Lonchura striata: one gene and its partners. The protein of the gene in region 1 binds, or shares a complex with, the protein of each later gene. Links are inferred from orthologs where the notes say so. Each region holds a gene or a part of one and is shown in the gene's direction. Other genes may lie near its edges.

Region 1 (7,269 bases):
TGCTTGCTGTGTAAGCAGCTTTCATGCTAAAAGGATCTTTCCTTGAATTCAGCTTAGCAGCTGTTCTGTAGCTTGGCTATTTTTCCCTGTTTTCTTTAACTGGTAGCGTTGTGTTAAGCTCTTCCCCTCCTTGTATTTGTTGCTATGGGGAGGAAGAGGTGAAGCTAGACCTGTGTGTGAAGAAGGAGGAAGAATTGTGGGGTCTATATTACAGCTCCCACTTCTTTGAAATCATTTACTTCCAGTTGTGGGATTTCTCGATATATGATTTTTTTTGGTGGTTTTTGTAAGTCTAATTTTCTTTGATCTTGTTAGTTCCTTACAAGTCTCCCCGAGACATTCTGCAGTCATTATCACCTTTTTGGGTGGAGTTTATTTTATTTTTTGGGTTGTTTGTTTTGTTTTGTTTTTTAAATAACTTTTTAACATCGGTGCATATATGCTTGGGATAGAGCTCATGTAATTATCCAATCGTATTGATTGTATGTGATTGTGCCCTGCAGAGGTATATTTAACAAAAAATAAAATAAAGGATAGTCTAGGTAATAAAGGAGACCATGACATTTGTTGAATCAGGTTATGAACTATTTCTTAAATTTATTTAGGATCCTACATAAGTGAAGTTACATCTGCTGTTCTCATGATTCAGTGCTAAACAAAATATCATTCTTTCTCTCCTTGTGTTTTTCCTTGCTTTTCTTCTTCTGCTGTTTTCTTCCTTTCCTGTTTCTCTTTCCCATAAACAAAAATTCCTTAATGGGAGTGGCTGCCTCTGGGTTGATAATGTGGCTATGTATTGTTTGTGACTATCAAAATATTTACAACAGGAGTATACACAAAGTAGAATGTATGATAAAAATTACATAAATTGAATTATTTGCAAGTTCAGAGGAATTATGAAGTTTTGTACATACAGGCTTGATCATGAGGGAGATGTTCAGAGGTACATGGGGAATTGCTCTGTCTTTTCCAGGAAAGGTTAGATGCTTTGCTACCTCTTGGGAAAACTGAGATAACAAAAGAAGTAGAAGAAAGTTCTCTATATCCAACTCCCTGTGTCTTTACTCCTACCATGTACTTTTTAGACTTGAAAGAAAAACCTTCTAGGTACTCTGCTGAAGTGGGAATGCATTGAAGGAGGCAAAAGGGAAGAGGATCCAGAGATTTGAAAAATCAGTATTGGTCTTTATTTAATTCTCAGACCTATAGAGGCAACGGTGTCACTTTTGTGTGAAAGAACAAGGGAGACCTACTGTAAATGCATGGCAGTTACATAGAAAAAAACATATGTTGAAATGCTATTTCTTCTTCCCTCTTTACCTTGCTTTTCTCCCTCTTTCTCCCTGACTCCACCTTGCACTCACAGAATGTCTAAGGGTCCTTTGAGTTGCAGATTTAACAACAAAAAAGTGGAAAAGTGATTCACTATTTGGTTTGTAAATAGATGGAAGTGTCTACAAGGTCTTACCTGCTTTTCTGTCAGCATTTATATTAAGTGATAAATTAATGAAGAACACTTTGAAGTATCTCTTGTTTTCTGTCTGGGATGATTGTACATTCTTTTAAATTTTGTGTGAGGTGTAAGACTGTTGGACCATCTGAGTAAGATTTTCATCAGCTCAGGGTGTGTGTGCTCTTTGCTGGGCTGCAGCATAAGAGATGCCAAATAGCAGAGAAGCCACATCTCCAGGGTTTGGTCTGCTCTCTTCTGACTTCACCTGTAAACAAAGTGGGTCCTTCACCTGTTCACCAGAGGTGAACAAGAAAAGATGCTCAAAATAATCAAGTTTTTTTAATTGCTCAGAGTGTACATATTTTAAAAGCAAACCAAACCCTTCAGAGCAAAGAGTGAGCAGCATTTGTCTTAACGTTGAGCCTGGTTTGGAACTTGCCTTAAAGTGAAAGTAAGTTTTGCTCCACAGTCTGCTTTGTGGTTTTTAGTCTTCTCCTTTTACAGCTTTTTGTGGTCTTTAACAAGTCATTAGCTGTAAATCTGAAACTGGATGAAGCTGCTGCTTCACTGAAAAACTGCTCCTTCTACTCCAGGGCAAGCACAGCCTTCTGCCCCTCGAGTTCATGCATAATGTTCATTACTATTGTCTTAATATGCTTGAGCCTGGGCACCATGGATCAAGGTAAGGTGTGTTTTGCTGGGCTGAAGCCCATCACTGCTCATTATTAGGCCCCCTCACACCTCTACACTTACTTGCTGGGTGGGTCAAAGCATTCAATTCCTATAAAGAAATTCCGTTTAGTGGGAAAGCCAGCAGAAAACTAAGTTTCAGTTGGTGATGGTTTCCTTACCCTTTCTGCCATTAGTCTGAGGATTCAGAATCCTCATGTAGTGACTCACTTCAGAAGGGAAAAAAAAGAGCTGAATTCCAACAGTGGCTGGCTTTTAAAAGGAAAATCTGGAGCACTGGAAAGTCAGATCCCTCTGGAAAGAAGTGGGTGCTCTGCATCAAGAGAGATTGGGGGAAACTTGCTGAGTTTCTTCATGTGGAAAAGAGGGGAGACCAGGCTCAAGTGGATGGTACCTGCTGGAATTTTTTTCCCCTTTGGATATGGATAGCAGGATAGAAAAAAGTCTTGAAAAGGCTAGCTCATGAGCCTTGATTCCATCTTGCTCTGTGAGTGCAAGAGTCATTTTCCCTGTGTGTAGCCATGAAACTCAACAGTGAAGACCCAAAGCACAAAACAAAATTAAGGCTATTTATATTCCTCCTCACCCATCAGGTATGTTTAAGCACTGTTTCTTTCCAGCTAGGATGTGTTCAGTTGTTTCTGTAACCTCCTTCCTAACTGTGAACTCCAGCTCCCTGGGGACTAAAAATGTGGGAGAGACTAAAACCAAAGCATGATACTTCATCTGTCTTGCCACAGGCTGCCAGGCTTTGGTGCTTGATGGCTTTGAGTCTCTGATCTTTGCTTTGAGTTTGGGAGAAAAACAGCCCCTACATCAGAGCAAAGAAGGCATCTAGCAGTTTGGATTAAGACACTGGCCATCTTGGGTGCTTCCTGGATAGCTCTGCTCAGATGTGAATGCTGGGTTGTTGCTTGGAGCTAAACCAGCCATAAATTACCATTTACATGCTGCATTCAAATGTTACAATAACTCAGTTACCCTAGGAAAAAATGCCTTGGGAGCTCTGTGGGATGTGCATAGTTGTTCACTTTTCATTTTACTGCTTTAAACTACCTCTGAGCACTGGGAAAATGGAAACCTGTGCTTGGATGTCTGCCTGGGTGCGGAGCATCCCTAATCACTGAAAACCCTGGGATCTGTGAGCATGTCATTTACCTCAAAAAATTAAACCTGAAGTAACAAGGTACAGTATGTGAGTCCTTCCTTTCTCATGGAGGATGTTTTTTACATTACCCTTCAAATTATCTCCACAATCTCTGTCCATTTAACTATGTCCCATACTGATACAGCAAGGTCTTTTAACCCAGACCAGTTTGCAGTTGCATTTTCCATTAAGGGAAAATGTTCCTCTCACTGGAGAGTCTGCTCCTGCGATTTGAAATTTCAGAGGCAAGGCTGCAGAATTTGTAGAGCAGCTGCATCCTGGAATAGAAACTGTGTTCAGTTCTGCTCACTGCTCTGCCTTGTGAATCTGGGCAGGAGTTGGGGGAGCTGCTGTTAATCCTCAGCTTTCCAGCTCTGCAAGTGAAAGGTCACAGAATCACAGAATATCCTGGACTGGAAGGGACCCACCAGGATCACAGAGTCCAACTCCTGGCCCTGCACAGACATTTCAACAATCCCACCCTGTGCCTGAAAGTGTCCCAACTCTCCTGGAGCTCTGGCAGCCTTGGGGCTGTGACCATTCCCTGGGGGGCCCTTTCCAGGTGAGTGTGTTTAAGATGGGATATATTTGAAACTGCAGAATGTGAACTGGGGCAATTTCTCCCAACTTGTCTGTTCAGGAAACAGGGAACAGGTGACAGGGCTTGGGACAGATGGGGGAAACATTTTGTTTGGCTCCAAGATCCCTAAACTAGATCTACAAATAGCTTTATATAATTTTTATTCAAACTCTTGAAGGGTTTAAGGTTTTTCTCATGGGATAAGCAGTTCATTTTCTGTTGGCAAAAACTGAGGGCATGTGACGCTTGTATGGGGTAGGTGGTCAAACTCTCCCTTGTCAGATTGAACTTTAAAACCTCTTTCAAACTAAACATTGCCTCTTTTTTCCTACTCTTTGCTTAACCTTCAGCAGCTGGTCATCAGCCTTTGGCCTTAGCATCCTACTCCCCTCCCACCATCCCCTGCTGCTGTCTCAGCTCTGTTTGAGCACAGAAATCCAGTGGGGAAACTGCTTTGGGCTCAAGCAAGACTGTTCTCTCAAAAAATTGAATTTACCTCCTAAAAGCAGAAGGCTGGAGGTACAGGGGCAGGTAAGAAAAATAGATTCCACACATCTTTCATTGTTAATTAATTCCTTGAAACAGCTTCTTTTCCCTTAGTAGGAGCCTATGAATTTTAGCTGCTGCCAGAGTGGCTTTTTGCTCTATTAGAGCGAGTCCTCTCACCCCTAGGTGTCATGATGGCTGGTGTTCTAAATCATCAGACTTGTCTTACCCCCAGCCTGCAGCAGTCATGGTGTGGAGGGCAGTTAATGAAGTCAGGAAGTCCTGAGTAACTGCTGGCTGCAAAAGTACACTGCTGGTTTCCTTTGGACTCTGGTTTTGGCTGTGAGGCAGTGGGGAAGGCTTCTCAAGAGCCTAAATTAATTTCAAAATGGTTTGAGCTATTTTATATTGACTGGGCTGTGTAGCACAGTGCTTGGGTGCTGTGGGACATTTCCACCACTACCAGTAGCCCCAGTAGGTTCAGGAGGGTGGGTGCTGGGAGTCTGTAAGCCCAATTAATCATCCTGTCCTGCAGCCATGGAAGAGGGGGATGGAAATGGTGTGTGCTGGTGAGAGCCCAACCATGTCGTACAGCAGCCAAGGGATCGGGAAGTTTCTCGATGCTTCCCCAGAGCCTTCTGATTTGAGCTTAATCAGCAACTTGTTTCTTGGTTTTCTGCACTTTGTGTTGCTTCACCCTTGTAAGAACCTTTTCTAATTTCTATGTTCCCTCTTGCCAGTAATCCTTCTCAGGCAGTGCTGTTGTGGGAATACTTTTGGCCTCCTTCCAGGTTGACACATGGAGTGCATGTTGGTGCTGCAAAGGAAAAGGGAGCACTGAAGAGCTGTGGGAGGAGGAGGAGGAGGAGGAGGAGGAGGAGTGGGTTTTGGCCAAAAGCTGTGACAAAGAGCTGTTCTAAGAAACAGCAGAGGCTCTTGCCTATAAGAGACAAGATTGGATGTGTCAGAGGCCATATCAACCTTAATGGATGGTAAAGTAGATTTAAGGGGTTAGCATAAAGTCCTGTATCTTCCCTGAACTGATGGAGTCGGGGCTTTGCTGCAGATAAAAACAGGGAGTCTTTCTCATTTAATGAGAACAGGGTGAGGATGAAGGTGCCCTCCCCACTCTTGTGCTTTGGTCCCTAAATATGAGATTAGATTAACAACACTTTGTGTGATGGCAAACACCACAAGCTGCTTCTGGTTTGACAGAAGCAGGTGTTTGTTCTTGTACAGACAGGGTCAGGACATGGCTTTCCCTGGAGGTGAGTGCAGTGACAGGGCAGGGACCATGATGGGGTTGTCCTTCCCATGGTGGGTCTGGCCACCAGTGTGTCGGTGCTGCTGGAGCTGCAGGACCAGGTGAGGGTGAGGGAGGGCTGCTGCAGGCAGTGAAGGGCTCTGCTCCTGGCCCCAGGATTGCAGAACACTGGAGTGTGTCTGGCTTGTTGCTGGCTGACTTTTCCTGTGGGATTGAAAGGTTTGGAAGAACAGCACTTCCTGGAGTGCAATTTTCAGTTGTCTTCATATTTTTCCTTTCTCTTGGCCTGAGTGTTGTTTTTTGTTTTTTAATTGGTTAACTTCTCTCCTTTTTAGATTTTTTTTTTTTACCCTTTGTGGTATTGTATCTGTCCTAAACCTTTTGCGAGATGATCTATGTGTCATTACCAGTGAGAGCTGTGGCCATGGCCTGAGTGAGTCCCTCATGTTTTGCTGTGCTATCACACAGCCTTGGGCTCCAGACAGCCTTGGTGCCAGATGAGGTAGTTTCTGCTTTTGCAGAGGAACTGGAGCACAGATGAAGTCATTGGCCAAGAGCTCAGGGAGGGGGTGTGGAAGAGCCCCGAGGTCTCCTTCATTCCTGATCAGCCTTTGAGCTGCTCCCGTTTTCCTCCAGCAGGTGCTGGCCCACCAGCACTGGAAGATCACAGGCTGGAGGTCACCAGTGCTAAATGCAGTTGACTTTTAATTTAGTTTCTCAGAGAGCAATGCTTGGTAGCCATGGCAGTGAGTATGTGCAGGCAGGCAGAGACTTACCTAACTTAGACACATGTTTGAAAAAGTGCCCTGTAGCAGGCAAGACCTGGGCAGGCTGCCAGTCCCTCCTAATAGTTGTTTCCCAAACTGTTGTGGCTGTGGTGTTGAGCTTCCTCCCATGGGTTACATAAACAAAGCAGTCATGCAAAGGGCATCTTAGAACCACAGCATGCAGGCCCTGGGATGGCTCTTGAGGCCTTGATGCCAGAGCTGGTGGGTGATGGGATTTAGGAGGAAATTGTTCCCTGTGAGGGTGTGAGGCCCTGGCACAGGGTGCCCAGAGAAGCTGTGGCTGCCCCATCTCTGGAAATGTCTAAGGCCAGGTTGGACAAGGCTTCAAACAACCTGGGATAGTGAAGGTGTCCCTTCCTATGGCAGAGGGTGCAATCAGATGATAGTTAAGGTTCCTTTTAACTGAAACCATTCTGAAGTTTAGTGTGCTTTAGCAAAGGGAAAAATACAAATTATCTCTCTCTTGCTGGAAGATTTTCAGAGACCTACTTTTGCTGGAACACAATAATTGCCATTAGCCTGCACTCTTTAGGTACCAAGGACAACCAGTTTGCATTGAGGTGATATGAACTTTGGGCAGGAATTGGTGTGATGTACCAGCTACACCATACTGCTCATAAAGTACATTTTTGGGGGATTAGAGATGTAGATGCTCAGTCCACGGAGGGACCAGCTTCCTTGGAGACATTTTCCTTTTCCTTATCACCTTTCTTCTCTGTCATAGTACCTCCTACATCAGTAACTGAAAAGTACTGTAAGGCTGAGGTGAGCCTGGCAGCGTCCTTACACTATAGCCACCTCACTGGCCAATAGAGAGGACTCAAAAGTTCAAATCATCCATTTTGGTAGAAACTTGTCAGG
Region 2 (6,958 bases), on another chromosome or scaffold:
TTGTCAGGATCCTGGTGAGAAGGGAAGAAGGATAACAAGGAAAAGGATATGTGCCTGCCTGGTGCCATATGCTGGCATGGGGAGCAGCTACACAGCCTGCTTTGTGTACCCATAATAGGTTCAAGCAGCAAGCACAGAGCTCTCCTGGGTAATGAAGTCCACCATGCTGGCAGGCTTCACCAAATCTTTGGGGTGCTGCTGCAACACTCCTGGGTGACAAATGCCAAGGTCTTTTGGATGATTGGGGTCCTTTGTGCTGGCAGGGTGACACCAGGTGTCAGGCATGCATACAAGTGTTACATTTAAACCTCACACCACAATCAGGGTTCAGTTCCTGGCCAAGTTGTAAACTGGCTTAAACCTGACCAAGGTGTTTGAATGAAAAGGAACAGGCTGCACAGGGAGGAGACAATTCTCTGGGTCCTGGCCCTCGGGGACAGGGGAACTCCCATGTGAAGGGATAAAGGTTTCATGTTTCTGATTGTATCCAAGATGTTGCTTTGATCAAACTGTATAACTCACTTTAGGAACAGATTAATAAACGCTTCAACTATTGAACCAGCAAACTATCCATAACAGAGCAGACAAAGGTCCAAGAAAATGGGCCAAGGCCAAATCCCCTATATTCTGCTCCCTGGAAGTTGAAAAGTTACACAGGAAAAAAAAAAAAAAAAGAAAAAAAAGAAAAAAAAAAGCCAAATTTCTTTACTTAAAAAGAAGAATTAACACATAGGACGAAAGAGATCAAAATTCCCAACTGTGTTACAAGCAGTAACTCTGGATGGAAAAGGTATCTTAACTCTCTTGTCCTAAGAAAGAAAATAGCATCCATCATTCATAGGTGAGTGAAGGCAGAAAGAAAATGAAATTATAAAAAATTGGTTTGAATGGAAGAGGTAAATGTTGGAGGGGTGGAAGTCATCCCTGGAGAGGTGGTGATAGCTGATGCATACTGTGCTGCTGCAGAGGCTAACCACAGGAATGGGAGAAACAGAAAGGAGCCCTAGAAGCACATTACGGAAGGAGAAAGGCCACAGTGTGAAGAGTCAGCATTTTTAATTACTAACATTGCTGTGAGACACCAGAAAGAGCTGGAAAGGGTCCCAGGATGTAGTGAAAATCTCCAATTACAAAGCAAAATGTAAAGAAATAGAAGACATCTAAGTGATAGATGTATCCTTGAGCAATCTAGAGATAAGAAGTTTCAGCAGTTACAGTTAACAACTTAGTTGCCCTGATAGGTGGGTTTGTCTTGTATCGCTCGGGAAAGAGCAGCAGCAGCAGAAAGCAGCTGGGCAAGAAACAGCCAGACATAGTGACAGAATCATCAGTTTCAGTAAGGGTTTTTCAAACAAATGCTTAAGCAACAAAATAAATGTAGGAACCAGAACAGAAGTAATGTTTAAGGAAGATGGCATAAGTGGGTATTAGAAGATATTCATACCTGTCTGATAACCAAGGTTAACTGCTGTATTGTAGCATTGCTTAAAGCTGGCCTTATATACTGCATGATCCCATGGAAGGTGGTAAGACCTTTCCTTTAAAGGAAAGACAAGCAGAGGGTAAAAATCTATGCGTAACAACGTTGACTTAAGCTGCCTGGTTGTTACAAAGAAGAGACAGAGATGCAGAAAAGAAAGTGATTGAGGAGACTGAAAGCTGCTCCTCCTCCAGTGAGGAGTGGAGGTGGCTGTGTGGGACACAGCAGCAGCCTGACCTTACCATTCTTGTTTGTGCTTTTCCCTGTCCCTGCCTGCGCTCTCTACCTAAATGCTGCTTCCCCTGCTAAGTAACATGGGGATTTCCAGGGTTGTGTCTAATCCCATTCACACACTCTCCACCCAGGTCATTTCCACCCAGGGAATTCCAGCCATTTCTAAAGGTGTATTTTCAAAATCCATAGCGAGGAGTAGAGATGTGTGTGGATGAGAACAGGAGATACTCTTATGTGAGGAAGGAAGACTCTGCAACTGCTCTTTGTACCAGTGTCCAGAGTCATTCTTCAGCCACCCTAATGCTAATATTTGCACTTCTTCTATGGAGATAAACATTACAGATGTATCAGCTGCACAGAGGCACAGGACAAAATATGCTCCCTGCTGGCAGGAAGCACTTTTGCTCCATGTGGCAGATTCCTGAGACTACCCCCATGCTGCCCTGCTTTCTGCTGTTTTTCCACTCTTGCCAATAGTCTGCTTGCTGTAGCAACCATTAGAGCCTTCCCAGCTCTGGTAGTCCACTTCTTGACTTAACAGCTGATGTCATTACATCCAGACCATTCCTCTCTCCCCATTCCTGGAAGCCCTTGTTTTTCTGGCTGGTTTGGGGTGTGCTAGCTCCCTGCTTGTCAGAGTTTCTGTTTCCTTTTAGATGGACTTTAGTACATTCCACTAAGGGGGGAAGAAAAGGGGGAGCCTAGCCTTCATGCTATTTCATCCTCTTCCACTCAGCTGGGAATTATAAGGCATTACGAAGAATGCACTGCCAATGGCACTGGTAACTAACCTAACTGGGAGGAAAATCTAAATCCCAAATGGGCTGTCAAAGGCACCCTTTCTGCTCATTGTCATGGGCAAGGGAGAAGGGAGAACACAAACTGTGTTGTGGTGCCAAAATAGCTGAGGCTGAGCTTACTGATAACTGCAGGAAGGAAAGACAACTGAGCACTAGGGACACTCAGGGGGGCTTGCAGCTAAAAAGAGGACTGGGAATGGCTAAGGAGGTCTCAAAGTCCTTCTGTGTTTGAGGTAGCTAGAGTACAACCTTTGAGAACAGTCAGTATTAAGGACCTGAACCAGCATGGTGGGGAGGCAGTGATGGTGCCAAGGGGCTGCACAGGAGCAAAGCCAGGGAAAAGGAGCAAGCTCTCTGGCTGGGATGGCTGTGAGCTGGCAGAGGTATCTCTCTCCAGCCCAAATTTTCCCTGTACCCTAGGACAAACTTGCCCTCTTGCTACTCATGCATCATCCTAGATATGAAATAGGAAGTTAAGTAAGGAAACAAAGATGCTCTGACAGGAGGGAGAGATGCCAAAAGAGGAGGGATAAGAGTCCCACTGTCCCTGACACACCATGACCTGGAGTCCTGTTTCTTCATTCTGGTTCAATATTAACCCAGCAGGGCTGTGAATCTGCTTATTCTGCTTCCTTTGCAATTCCCCTGCAGCCACGGCTGTACAGCATGGCGCAGAACAAAACCAACATACTGAGGGGCCTGCTCTTCTCCAGCCTTCTGCACCTCACCTTGAGCCATGCTGGAGGTAAGACTCAAGGGCAGAAGTACCAGTAGATGACAGGGGGAAGACAGAGATAGTTCTTTCCAGGGGTAACACAGGTGGCAAGTTTTCTTCCTCAAGTCAGGAGGACAGGCTAAAAGCTTGAAGCTGGGAGCAAAAGGGTGCTGAGAATGGAGTGAACATAGGAGGATGCAGCTGCATCTGCCAGCTGGTGATAGCAGCTCAGTGCATTTTATGGGTCACCTGGGAAATGGCAGGGAGGGGACTGTGGTCCAGGATCAAGTCTAACAATAACCATGGGGCTTTTGGGAATAGAGTTTCTCAGCTGACCTAGATGACTTCAATTCTCTATTGCTTGTCCTGCTGTGCCTTATCAAAACCTTAGGTCATACAAAATATTCCACCTGCCTGCTCACTGCTCCCTAAGGAGCTTCTGTCTTTTCTTAACATGAGGTTAAGTACTCTTCAACCCACTACTGAGCAGGAGAAGACCTGTCTCCACATCTCAAATCAGGGGCTCTGAACATGAACTGGAACCAAGTTGTGTTTAGCACAGTGGTCTGAGACTTATAAGACAGAAATACAGTGGCTGGGGATAGGGACAGCAGCAGGCTCAAAGCAAACAAGCCTCTATCTAACTGCAAATGAGCAGAGCAGCTTTGCCGAGGAAGCAGTGTTCCTGTTGCTTCTGTTCCTTAAGTGATGGGAGCTGTGATGGGATGAATTCCAGTGAGCCTGCTCTGATCATCAAGCGTAGACATGACAGGGCTTCTCCTCTCTGTATGGTGTGCTGGGGGAGGCTGGGCTGTGGGATCACCACATCAGCTGCATGTGGTTTTTGGAAACTGCAAGGGGAGACAAAGGTGCCCTCTGGCTGTGAGCAGCCCTTTGACTGGCAGTGTTCTGACCTGATAGTTTTCCTGGAAAAGGGGCAGGCATTGTCACTGCTCAAGCGCCACCGACGTGCCAACAAGGGATTTCTAGAAGAGATGCTTAAGGGAAACCTGGAGCGAGAGTGCTTGGAGGAGACATGCAGTTATGAGGAGGCTTTCGAAGCCCTTGAATCCACTGATCAGACGGTACGTACCGGGAAACATTCCCCCAGCCAGCCTCTGTGGGGAGACACCAGCAGGTTGCCCACACAGCCAGGGACCAGGGTTGTAATACTCAATTCTGTGAGCTAAAGATGAGGCTGATGAGTGCATGCCCCACGGCAAGCTCAGGCTTCCTTAGGGAGTTTCCCTTCTTGAGACCTGCAGGGAATACACTTGAAAGCTCAGGTTCTTTTCTCTCCCTCTCTATGCATGAAGTGACAAGGTGCTATTGGTCCCGAAAAGCACCTTCCACCAGCTCAGCATGGTACCATACATGCGAACTGCTATCCCAGACACCCACAGAAGCACTGGCATAGTAGTCAAAACACTAAGTGCAGGTTGCTCAGACTCCCTTGAGCTTTTGCTTTTGCACACCCTGTCTATTTTTCTGCCTTCCAGACTCACTCACTCTGTCAAAGTTGTCCGATACTGCATCCTTTTGGGATTTGTTCCTAGACCCAAGGCTGGTGTCCCTGCAGAATTTCACACCCAAAAAACCCATAAACAAACAGTTAGGAGCCTAAGCCAGCAAGACACTAGCTCTTTGGAGTACTTCAAAAACAATCAGCCTCCAGCTGCATGGCAGAGATGAGCAATACCTACATGTGATCTATGGCCTTAGAAATTCCAGGTTCAGCTGCTTGGACTTCTGCACTGTAGCATACTGCATTACTTGCACTGCTTGCTTTGCAGGTTGATGAAGGTTGTAAACATCTTTGGTCTTTTTAGAAACAACAGTACTGTCTTGATTGCCAAGTCTGATGTGTGGGAATGTGGTTTTGCATCACATTTTTGCTTTGACTCCATAGTAATTGGTATAAACAGAACTAGATTAGTCTTTCCTTTTGTTGTTATGGAACATTCTCTTACTGGTTTCAATAGCGGTAGCCCAGAAAGGTTTGATGTTTGATGTTCTGTGTCCTTAAATTATTTTTTCTTTTTTTTTTTTTTTTTTACAGGATATATTTTGGTCAAAATACCAAGGTAAGTTGAAGTTGTTTTGAGTCTTGCAGGTATTGTTATTCCTTAGAATGCACTGTCTCATCCTGGAGAGATGGCTCCCTCTTTTAAGAGCTCACTTTCCAGGGCTAAGCACTTGTGTTTTGTCTCTAGATGGTAACCTGGTTCAAATGACGATGCTTATTTGGATTGCATTCATACAATGTGTTTCTTTCTTCTTATTTTGCTAGTATGTCAGGGCCTGGGAAAGTCCAGGACAATTCTGGATGCTTGTCTAGAAGGTATGAACTTCATGCTGACCTCAATCTCCTAGATACAGTGAGTGCCAGGAACTTGCTTCCTGCAGAGATTGTACAGAAAAGAAATTTAACTGATGTTAGAGAAGCCATCTAATTTTAAAGAAAAATACAAGGGGAGGAATTTGAAATTATTTCTTACTCTTTATTTCCCCAGTAATCATTTCAACAGACAATCTGGCTTGTGCACTGAAATAGCAGCCTCTGAGAAAGGCTCTGAGCCAAAGCAAAGCACAGAGCCCTCACAGACAGCTCCCTCTGATGAAGCAGAGAAAGCTTAGGCTTCTCACAGGAAGAGGATGCCTCTGCTATTGCAGGCTCATGCACCCAGCAAAAGTTAAAGGGATATGTGGGGATGGTACTTCTGACCTTGCAAAATGCAACATCCAGTTCCACTGACTGGCTTGCACTGTTGGGATTTTGACAGGTAACTGTGCTCTTGGGCTGGGCCAGAACTATCAGGGAACAATTAGCCAAACCAAGTCTGGGATTGAATGTCAAGTGTGGACAAGCAAGTATCCACATATACCTAAGTAAGTTCATCTCCCACATACCCCTTAAGAGTTCTCTGGGGTATCCTTCCTTCCTAGCCTAACCAGCTTTGTCTCTCATAGATTTAATGCCACCATTTATCCCAACCTCATTGAGAACTACTGCAGGAACCCAGACAACAACTCAGAAGGCCCGTGGTGCTATACCCGAAACCCAACAGTAGAACGGGAGGCGTGTCCTATCCCCGTGTGTGGTATGCCCCAGCACTCCAGAGAGCCCTTCACTCACAGCAAAACACTGCACTGAGACTGACACTAAAGCAGTCAAGGAGAGGGTTAAGGAGGGGGAATGCTTACATGAACAGAGGTCAGTAGGAGTAGAGAAGTTGCATCTTAAAGGGTAAAGGAGATGAGGAAGAAAAGTCACTGAGTTGCCCATACATAATGAGCTATTTTCTCTAGATTACACTAATGTAGATCTAAATTAAAACCAGTATCGGCAGTACCTTGGAATGTACTACAGTATTTTCTAGTCAGTCACCCCAGAATCCTGGCCCAGCTGTCTCTAATTTGTGACAGCCAAGAGTCATAATGCTTTTTGGTCTGAATGCCTACCTTTAGAACAAAATAACTAGTTTATGCTTGACTGCCTGCCTTAACGTTCTCTCCTGTGAAGGTGTGCAGTTTAATACTCACAATTTCAAGTAAAGAGAAGATACCCTTCTCTCATCATTAAGCTGAACATAGAGGATCATCTCCCTACACTTGCACATTCCCGTTTCTCCCTAGTACAAAGCCATCTCCTCTGGGGCTTGGCCTCTGTCTCAGAAGAACTGGTAAAGGAGAGAGCCTTCTCACACAGCAGAAGTTTCTCTTCCAAAA
Region 3 (7,536 bases), on another chromosome or scaffold:
AGCAGTTTTGTCTCCTGGCCTTGCACTGGTGCAAATGATTAAATGCAGGAGGATGAACCCAGACTTTGGTGCTGCCTTGCACAGAGTGGAGCCCTGCCCTGCAGAGGGTCGGGACAGATCTCACGCCAGAGGCTCCTCCAGCAGCAGGGCTCTGCCCTGTGCCTGTACCTCACGCTCTGAATGCCCCCTGGGCAGGGGCTGCCATCCTCCCCGAGCCTGCAGAGCACCTGGCTGCCTCTCTGGAGGGTTTGCTGCAGATTCTCTCCAGAGCTGGGCTCTGCTGGCTCGGGGCTGCCAGGCCAGAGCCCCGTCAGCGGGCACTGCAGGCAGAGAAGCACCCAGGCACTGGGGCAGGAGCAGAGAGAAGCCAGCAGGGCACAGCACTAGAACACCAGGTTTGTGAACTTCCTGCTGTCCCACCGCTCGGGCTCTGGGGATTTTGGGGGGAAGGTGGCAGCGAGTGCCTGGAAGCAGGGCAGGCTCGCTCCCTGGGAGCACTGGTGGCGGTGGGCAGTGCAGCCTGTGCATCCCTCTCTGCATTTCCCCTCTCAGTGCTCTTGCAGCAGCCCCACGAGCCTGGGAGGGCTCTCGGTGTCTGCAGCTGCCTCTGCAGCCCCCAGCTGCAGGGATGCTCTACAAGCAGTTATCAGAGCGAGCTCCGAGTACCTGTGACTCAGGGCGCTGACTGGGGCTGTCAGTCAGGGATGCACAGCTCAGAAATATCCCTCCCTCTTCTCTGCAATCCCCCCCTTGGGTTTTAGTGTTGATGCCACTGACAGTTTTGTTCCAGAAGGGCAAGAAGGCAAACTACAAAGGGCAGGAAGAAAGGGAGGTGGGAAAAGCAAATAGGACACAAGGATGCCCTGGGATGAGGAGAGGATAAAAACTACAGATTAAATATGATTCAGGCAACAAAAAGGAACAAGGGAATAGCCACAAATGTTGCCTCAGAAAATGGGCAGAACAAGAACACCGAATGCTGTTACTGTAAGCTCAGTGGTAGGTGCAGGAGCTTTGGCTCTGGTGGGTTTGGCTGTGCTGGTTCAGACTCATTTCACCCCAGTCTGAGCTCTCCAAGAATAAAGTTTGATGTCTAATGTGAGCTGTCAATTGAGGCTGCTTTCCCAGTTAACAGAAAAGGAGAGAGACCCCTCCCTCCCCCAGCAGGGCACACTGAATCCTCCTGCCAGTGACGGACTCGAGCCTGGCCAGGACCAGCCTCGGGCTCACACACGTGCCTGGCCTGACAGGGCTGTGTCAGCTCGTGCCAGGACACAGCAGCAAGGCAGATTTCCAGCTGATATTTAATTTAGCTCTGCTCTGTACACTGATGTTTGAGCCTGGGGATCTGCCTGACCTGTCCACCTGCACGAGCTGAGCTTTATTTCACTGCTTTGTCCAGAGTTTGGGGTGGAGATGGTGAATTCTAAATTTAGAGTGGCTTCAGCAGCACACTGTGTCTACCTGTGCTTGCACTCTGCTTTCTGAAAAGATGATGACCAGACCAAATCCAGATTTCCTTTTAATCTGGCCTATTTTAAATCAAACTGCAAGGAAAGATACTAAAGCTGCTACTGGGAAACGTGCTGCTCCATGAATTAGTAATTGTGTTTATCTTCTACATTGGGGATTTTTTGCCTGTGTTGCTCTTTTCTTACTGCCACTCAACGTGAGGAGCCTTTATTTGAATGAGACTGTTTCAAAGCACTTCTACACTCATGTAGAGTCAGGCACTTATTTACTGACAGTTATTTACTTCCTGTAAATATTTCACAGCCACAGGACCTCCCAGATGAAAGCAGAGTTTGCTCTGTGCTCCTGTTCAGGAGTCTAATTAAAACCAGAATGAAATGGGAGGGACGGAGCTAAGTGCTAACTGCAGTGGATGCATCTAGAGGGAATTCAGCAAGGGAGCCTTTTCTCGGCACAATTATTGAAGCATAAAAGTGCAGAGGAGAAGTGCCCACCTCACAACTGACAGCCCTGAGACTGGTCAGGAGAGGCTGTGGGAGATGGCAGAGCCAGCCATGCTCCTGTACATGTCTCTATTGGACACAAAATGAGTACACAGGAGCTTGGGAAGTTCAGAAGAGAAAAAAAAGCATGTTTTATTCAAATATCTGGTATTTATAGAATTCTAAGGGTGACCGTGGATTGGAGGATGGAATTACCACCTCTCCAACCACACTGCTCCAAAGATCAATCAATCATTTCTCTCCACCCACAGAGAAATATGTAAAGTATTCTGTTTTTCCATGAAATGGTGTGGGAACTCTGTCTCTTAAATATGCAAACATTATCAGAAGGCTAAAGAAGCTTTATGAGAACTTAAACACTTTTAAAAGAGCTATAAAAGAGAACTTAACACTTTTAAAAATCAAGGCAACATCACAGACCCTGCTGCCAGCTCTGAGAGCTGAACCTCGATGCAATTTCACACCCCTGAGCCCAGACAGCTCCTTTGGCCCAAATCCCCTGCACAGCCCAGGGCTGGGGCAGCAGCAGCTCCTGGGTGTGCCCCTGGTCCCAGAGCCGTGGCAGAGGCTCCCAAATCCCCTGGGCACAGCCCCAGCTGGGCAGGCACTGATGCTCTGCTGGCCGAGCACCCCTGGGTGTCTGGTGGGGCTTTACAGTGCTGGGACTTTCTCCAGGACGTTCATTTACAGCCTGGGAGGGACTGAGCTCTGCTGCCTTTTTGTTTGCAGGAATTAATTTCCCACATTCAGAAAAAGCCAGCAACCCCAAAGTAATCACATAAAGAGTATGAAAAAAATAAAGATCAAGCATTACTTCCCCTGGTTTGGTTTGGTTTCTTTTTTTTATTTAGCACAGCTGTCTAGGGAGTAAGGGCAAATTGCTTCAGGTTTTGAGTGAGGTTTTTTCGCTTAAAGGAGTGCATTTGGAGAAAAGGGAGATTAAGAGCAATCCTTTAACAAGATCCTCAAGCCATCAGGCTGTTCAACATTAATGATCAGTGCAGCAGAGCACATTTTTAAAAAATCTCTCGGATTCAAATGGAAAGAGATTTCTGGTTCTGACTGCTCACCTGCTCCATCTCCCTTGGCAGCAGGGAGCTCCTCTGAAGGAGGGGCAGTCAGAGGGGCTGACCCTGCCAGGAACGAGCTGCCCTGCCAGCTCCCTCTGCCCGGCCACCAGCACAGGCCCAGCAGGCACCTGTGGGATGCTTCCATCCCAACAAAAAAGGGATATTTCAGTAAAAAACACAGCCTACCAGAAGAGACATCGCCCAGCTGCCCATTGCCACAGCAAAGCTATTTAATGCTTTAACCACTCCTCTTTTGAGAACACTGAACACTAAGTGAAAATACACCCAGATCTGATCGATGTCAGACAACAAAGCTTTCATCCCAAAGGGCCCGTGCTGGGGATCGCAGTTCTGAGGATTTGTTTGCAAAATAAATAAAAAGAAACACTTTGCTTTCCAATTAGTGCCCCAGAAGTTGATGGCAATAGTAGTACACAACAGAAATTATTTGTGTTAATAGCTGTGCTTATTCTAATATGTTGGCATTCCCTGTGAAGATTAATTGGCAATAATGTTGCAAAAACTATTACACATGAAATATGCACCATAAACCTAAAAGAATTTGACTGACCTATGTTCTAAAGTAAAATATTTGCATAATGTGATTCTAACTATCCTTTGTTATGGCAGCCATTCTCCCCACTCCTCTTTATTGATAGAGGCATTGTTTCAGCATTTTAGCTCCATTTATTTTCTCACATTTGCATTTCCTTATGCACAGAAAATGAGAGGCGATCATTACCTTCTTCACTTTGTATTCAATTTACATCAACAGCACATTACCTCATCCCAACTCATTTATCAACCGCAGAAATTTGATAACAAAAGCTACTGTCAGTGATGAATAAAGATCATTTCAAATGGAGCAAGAAGAAACAAGATGAATTATAGGTTTCAGGACTTTTTGTTTGCTCAAGAAAAGGAATATAGAGGATATTTTCCACCTAGACAAGAGGGATCTCACGAGGCTGCAGCTCATATTCAGCAACTCCTCTTCAGCTGCAGGGTCTGTGCTGCACCCAGAGGTGCCCCCGAAGAGCATGAACCATAAATGCTGCTGCCCCTTGCCTCTAAAGGAATGTTCCTCATTTTCCAGGCTGAGTGCACAGAATTCATGGTTGATACACTCGAGGAAAGGCTTTGCCCCCACCCAGGGGCTGCCGTGGGCTCAGAGCAGCGAGTGGAGCTGCAGCCTGGGGGGCAGAGCGTGTCCAGGGGGGCACAGCCCTGCCCTGCCCTCCCTGCCCTGCCCTGCCCTGGCAGCCTGCGGGCACCCAGCACCACTGAACACGCCGGGATCCCCTGCCCGTGGTGGCACAGCACCCAGCTGGCTCTGCCAGCCCCTGGGACATCGGGGACCTTAAATTGAAGGGCTGCCCTGGGCAGTAAACAGGAACCTGCACTTTGAACTCTGGGCTGAGCTCGGCCGCCTGGACAGGCTGTCAGCGAGAGCTTTGGGCAGGGGGAGAAGATGGCAAATGTCCCCCTCGTACTCTCCGTGTGTCTCCTGGGAGCTTGTCTCGCTGCTGAAAACGCAGGTGAGTTCATTTGAGAGCCAGCAAGCCCTTCCCTTTGGGGTACAGGCTGCTGCAGATGCCAGTCTGTGCCCTGACAGCTCGTGCAGGGCTGTGGGACAGCAGCTCAGAGGCACTGCTGCCTTTCACAGCTCCTCTTTAAAGTCTGGCCCTTCGCTGGGGGAAGGAAACAACAGCTTCTGTGCCGACTTGATACAGCTTGTGGCACAGGGATTAGTTTCCAGAATGGATTTTTTCCTTAGGTTTTTTGCACCTTTAAGCTTTCCGAGCTCGATTCGGCCATTTTAGAAGGCACTCACAGAAGGGGAGAAGGGGAGAGCGCTGCTGTGGAGGGACAGTCCCACCTCTTTGTATGCCAGCACCTTGTCCTGGAGAACAACCAAGTGCTCACGTCCATGAAACACTCGTTGGATCTGCCACTGAGAGGATTGTTTAGAGCCAAAGCCAGCGTGGTTTTAACAAAGCCTGCGGGATGCAGCCAAAGCTGGAGACAAGGCAGAGCACCTGACGGATGTGGCAATCACACACAGTAATGCAGGCTGTTGCTTGATTTATCTGTAACACCAACAGTCCCAGCAGAGGCTGGTTCACATCCAGTGTGAGCTCCCGCTTCCGGCAAGGCTGCCCTTCCTTCTTGCATTAAAACACTGCTGGAAACAGGTTAAAAAAATGCTCTTTCCAAAATGTTTGCTCAGCAACGAAAAGTGAGCAGAACCTGGTATTTTTGCCACCATTCACCCAGGTGTACCCCTATAAAACAGAGTGGACAGGACAGGTGTGCCCTGCCTAGAGACCCCTGTCACTCTCTCAGGCTGTGGCTCAGCAGCTGCTGAATGAGTTTGTCCTCAGGGTGAGGATGGTTTCCAGCCCCGTGCCACTCCTGCCACCCCACAGGGCCTGCAGCCTCCAGCCCCATCAGGTTTTGTTTGTGAGAGCAGCACGTGGGAGCTGTGAGGAATGGAGAGAGGCCAGGGGGATGTGAAGGAGGTGAACCCAGATGGGTTCACGGTGGCAGTGCCTGGCACATCCCACCGGGAGGGCTCAGGGAGCCTTTTCAGTCTCCTGTCAGTGGAGGGGCTCCTCACCTGTAAGGAGCCAGCCTGGTGCCAAGCAGAGCCCATGAGAGCTCCACCACGGCATCTCCTGCAGGCTCGGCAGGGCTGGGCTCTGCTCTGGAGCCCGAGCAGGACCTGCCTGTGACAAGGGACGAGTGGCTGCTGCTCGTCCCTCGGTCCCCTCTCCCTGCCTGGCCAAGCTCCTGGTGTCCCTGAGCCTCAGCAGGGCCCGAGCCCTTCCTGCATGGCCAGCAGGCTCCGGGAGCTGCTCTGCCATCTGGTGACAAAAGGGACACGCTGAGCCTGCTGCGGGAGGCTGCAGAGGGAGGAGAGGCTGGGCAAGCAAAGCAGGGACATCCCTGGGCGAGCAGAGCGCTTCAGGGAGGGCAAGGAGACCCTCATCAGGGCTGGGTCAGGAGCAAACCCTGCCACAGGACAGCCCCTGCTGCTGTCCCTGCTGCTGGGACACACAGCCCTGCCAGGCAGCGCCCGTGGCAGCCCGTGATGGGGCTACCCCTCACCAGGCAGCCACCACGCAGGGTGGTGGCCCCTGTGGCCATCCCACCCGGCCTGGGGTCCCTGCAGTGCCAGCAGCTCCTGCTGCTGGCCCTGCCCCGGAGCGTGGCCACTGTGGATGGTGGGTACAAAGAGCCCACTGAGGAGGTGGCCCGGGGCGAGGAAGGCTCCTGTCACCCCTCCAGCCTGCAGAAGATGCTGGGAGCCAGGGCTGTGGCCAAGGATGAGGAGCAGGGAGAGGAGGAAATGTCCCTTGCTCCCAAGGGCCACAGCTCTGCAGGGCTAATGGTCTTTCAGAGCCAGCACAGGGGCAGGACACTTCTGGGGCCAAACAGAACCTCACCAAGCAGCAGCGTGGAAAAGCCAATTCTTTTCCCCTGTGAAACAGCTTATTCCATTCTGTGCATCTGTGATGGAGATTCTCACTCCATCTGCATTAGGGTATTTTAAGCACCAAACTTCAGCCCTCCCAATCACCCTCTTGCCATCAAACATTTCTGCCCGTTGACTCTTCTGACGTTCGGCTCTGCAGATTTGATCCTTTGGGCTGGGCTGAAGTGGGGCAATAAAGCAAGCTCAGGCCCACAGTGACAGTCCTGAGCTGTCTCTGGCCATGGGGCAGTGGGAAGCCTGGAAAGGGTTTGTTTTCCTGGGAGGCCAGAGCCCTGGCAGCCCTGTCCTGTTCCCACGGCAGTGTTCATCGGGAGCAGAGAGGCGAGCTCGGTGCTGCAGCGGCAAAGGCGAGCCAACTCCAACAGGCTGGAGGAGGTCATTCCTGGCAACCTGGAGAGGGAGTGCATAGAGGAGAAGTGCAGCTACGAGGAAGCCCGAGAAGTGTTTGAAAACGAGGAGAAGACGGTGAGTGCCACGTTCTGGCAGCCCCTGGTTCCCTCCTCCAGCTGGGGCCCAGGGGCAGCAGGAGGGAGCAGCCAGGAGCAGACCCGCAGTGCTCGAAAACCTTCAGCACTCACACCAGGTGGTGGCTTCCCTGCCAGCCTTTTCCCTCGGCTTTGGAGCCATCCAGGTACTTCAGTCAGACAACACCCAGAAATTAGAAAACAAAGAAAACTTTTTCTTTTTTTCCCTTTGCAGATGCAGTTTTGGCAAACATACGTTGGTAAGAGCTGCTTTCTTCATGTTCTAATGCTTACTATTCCTCTCTCAGTGCTTAGAGACCCGATGTTACTGTTACAAATGTATTTTATAAAGACCCGATGTTACTGTAAGAAATGTATTTTATAAAGACCCGATGTTACTGTAACAAATGTATTTCAGCATCCGGAAACTGTAAGGGCAGAGCCAGTCAGAGCCTTGCACCCCAAATCCTGCAGCACCCAGCCTGGGTCTGTCCTGTGGCAAGCCAAAAAAAAAAAAAAAAAAGGAG

What was found.
Region 2: the proteins of SERPINC1 (region 1) and F2 are in contact, whole or in part, in a crystal structure (PDB 1TB6), measured with the Homo sapiens proteins. The link is inferred for Lonchura striata from reciprocal best matches to the Homo sapiens genes SERPINC1 and F2. Residues at the interface, in NP_000479.1 of Homo sapiens: Lys258, Glu264, Asn265, Arg267, Tyr285, Glu287, Gly288, Lys289, Glu345, Met347, His351, Ala419, Val420, Val421, Ile422, Ala423, Gly424, Arg425, Ser426, Leu427, Asn428, Pro429, Asn430, Arg431, Val432, Lys435; in NP_000497.1 of Homo sapiens: Leu389, Leu390, Cys391, His406, Cys407, Tyr410, Pro412, Trp413, Asp414, Lys415, Trp455, Arg456, Glu457, Asn458, Leu459, Asn506, Thr510, Trp511, Thr512, Ala513, Asn514, Val515, Gln519, Arg541, Ile542, Asp562, Ala563, Cys564, Glu565, Gly566.
Region 3: the proteins of SERPINC1 (region 1) and F9 are in contact, whole or in part, in a crystal structure (PDB 3KCG), measured with the Homo sapiens proteins. The link is inferred for Lonchura striata from reciprocal best matches to the Homo sapiens genes SERPINC1 and F9. Residues at the interface, in NP_000479.1 of Homo sapiens: Glu264, Asn265, Arg267, Glu269, Met283, Met284, Tyr285, Glu287, Met347, Val349, His351, Val420, Val421, Ile422, Ala423, Gly424, Arg425, Ser426, Leu427, Asn428, Pro429, Asn430, Arg431; in NP_000124.1 of Homo sapiens: Lys247, Val248, Asp249, Ala250, Phe251, Cys252, His267, Cys268, Glu270, Glu285, Tyr312, Arg358, Phe360, Lys362, Gly363, Arg364, Ser365, Leu367, Lys387, Phe388, Asp405, Ser406, Cys407, Gln408, Gly409, Asp410, Ile429, Ser430, Trp431, Gly432.

What each region holds. Positions count from the first base shown.
Region 1 is NC_134611.1:27,402,134-27,409,402, forward strand, and holds the start of SERPINC1 (antithrombin-III), read left to right. Parts: upstream 1-4,194; 5' UTR 4,195-4,401; intron 4,402-7,269. UniProt on the Homo sapiens protein: Most important serine protease inhibitor in plasma that regulates the blood coagulation cascade. AT-III inhibits thrombin, matriptase-3/TMPRSS7, as well as factors IXa, Xa and XIa. Its inhibitory activity is greatly enhanced in the presence of heparin.
Region 2 is NC_134608.1:38,795,440-38,802,397, forward strand, and holds the start of F2 (prothrombin), read left to right. Parts: upstream 1-3,879; coding exon 3,880-4,314; intron 4,315-5,288; coding exon 5,289-5,313; intron 5,314-5,519; coding exon 5,520-5,570; intron 5,571-6,012; coding exon 6,013-6,118; intron 6,119-6,199; coding exon 6,200-6,330; intron 6,331-6,958. UniProt on the Homo sapiens protein: Thrombin, which cleaves bonds after Arg and Lys, converts fibrinogen to fibrin and activates factors V, VII, VIII, XIII, and, in complex with thrombomodulin, protein C. Functions in blood homeostasis, inflammation and wound healing.
Region 3 is NC_134616.1:732,872-740,407, forward strand, and holds the start of F9 (coagulation factor IX), read left to right. Parts: upstream 1-4,437; 5' UTR 4,438-4,517; coding exon 4,518-4,584; intron 4,585-6,846; coding exon 6,847-7,010; intron 7,011-7,244; coding exon 7,245-7,269; intron 7,270-7,536. UniProt on the Homo sapiens protein: Factor IX is a vitamin K-dependent plasma protein that participates in the intrinsic pathway of blood coagulation by converting factor X to its active form in the presence of Ca(2+) ions, phospholipids, and factor VIIIa.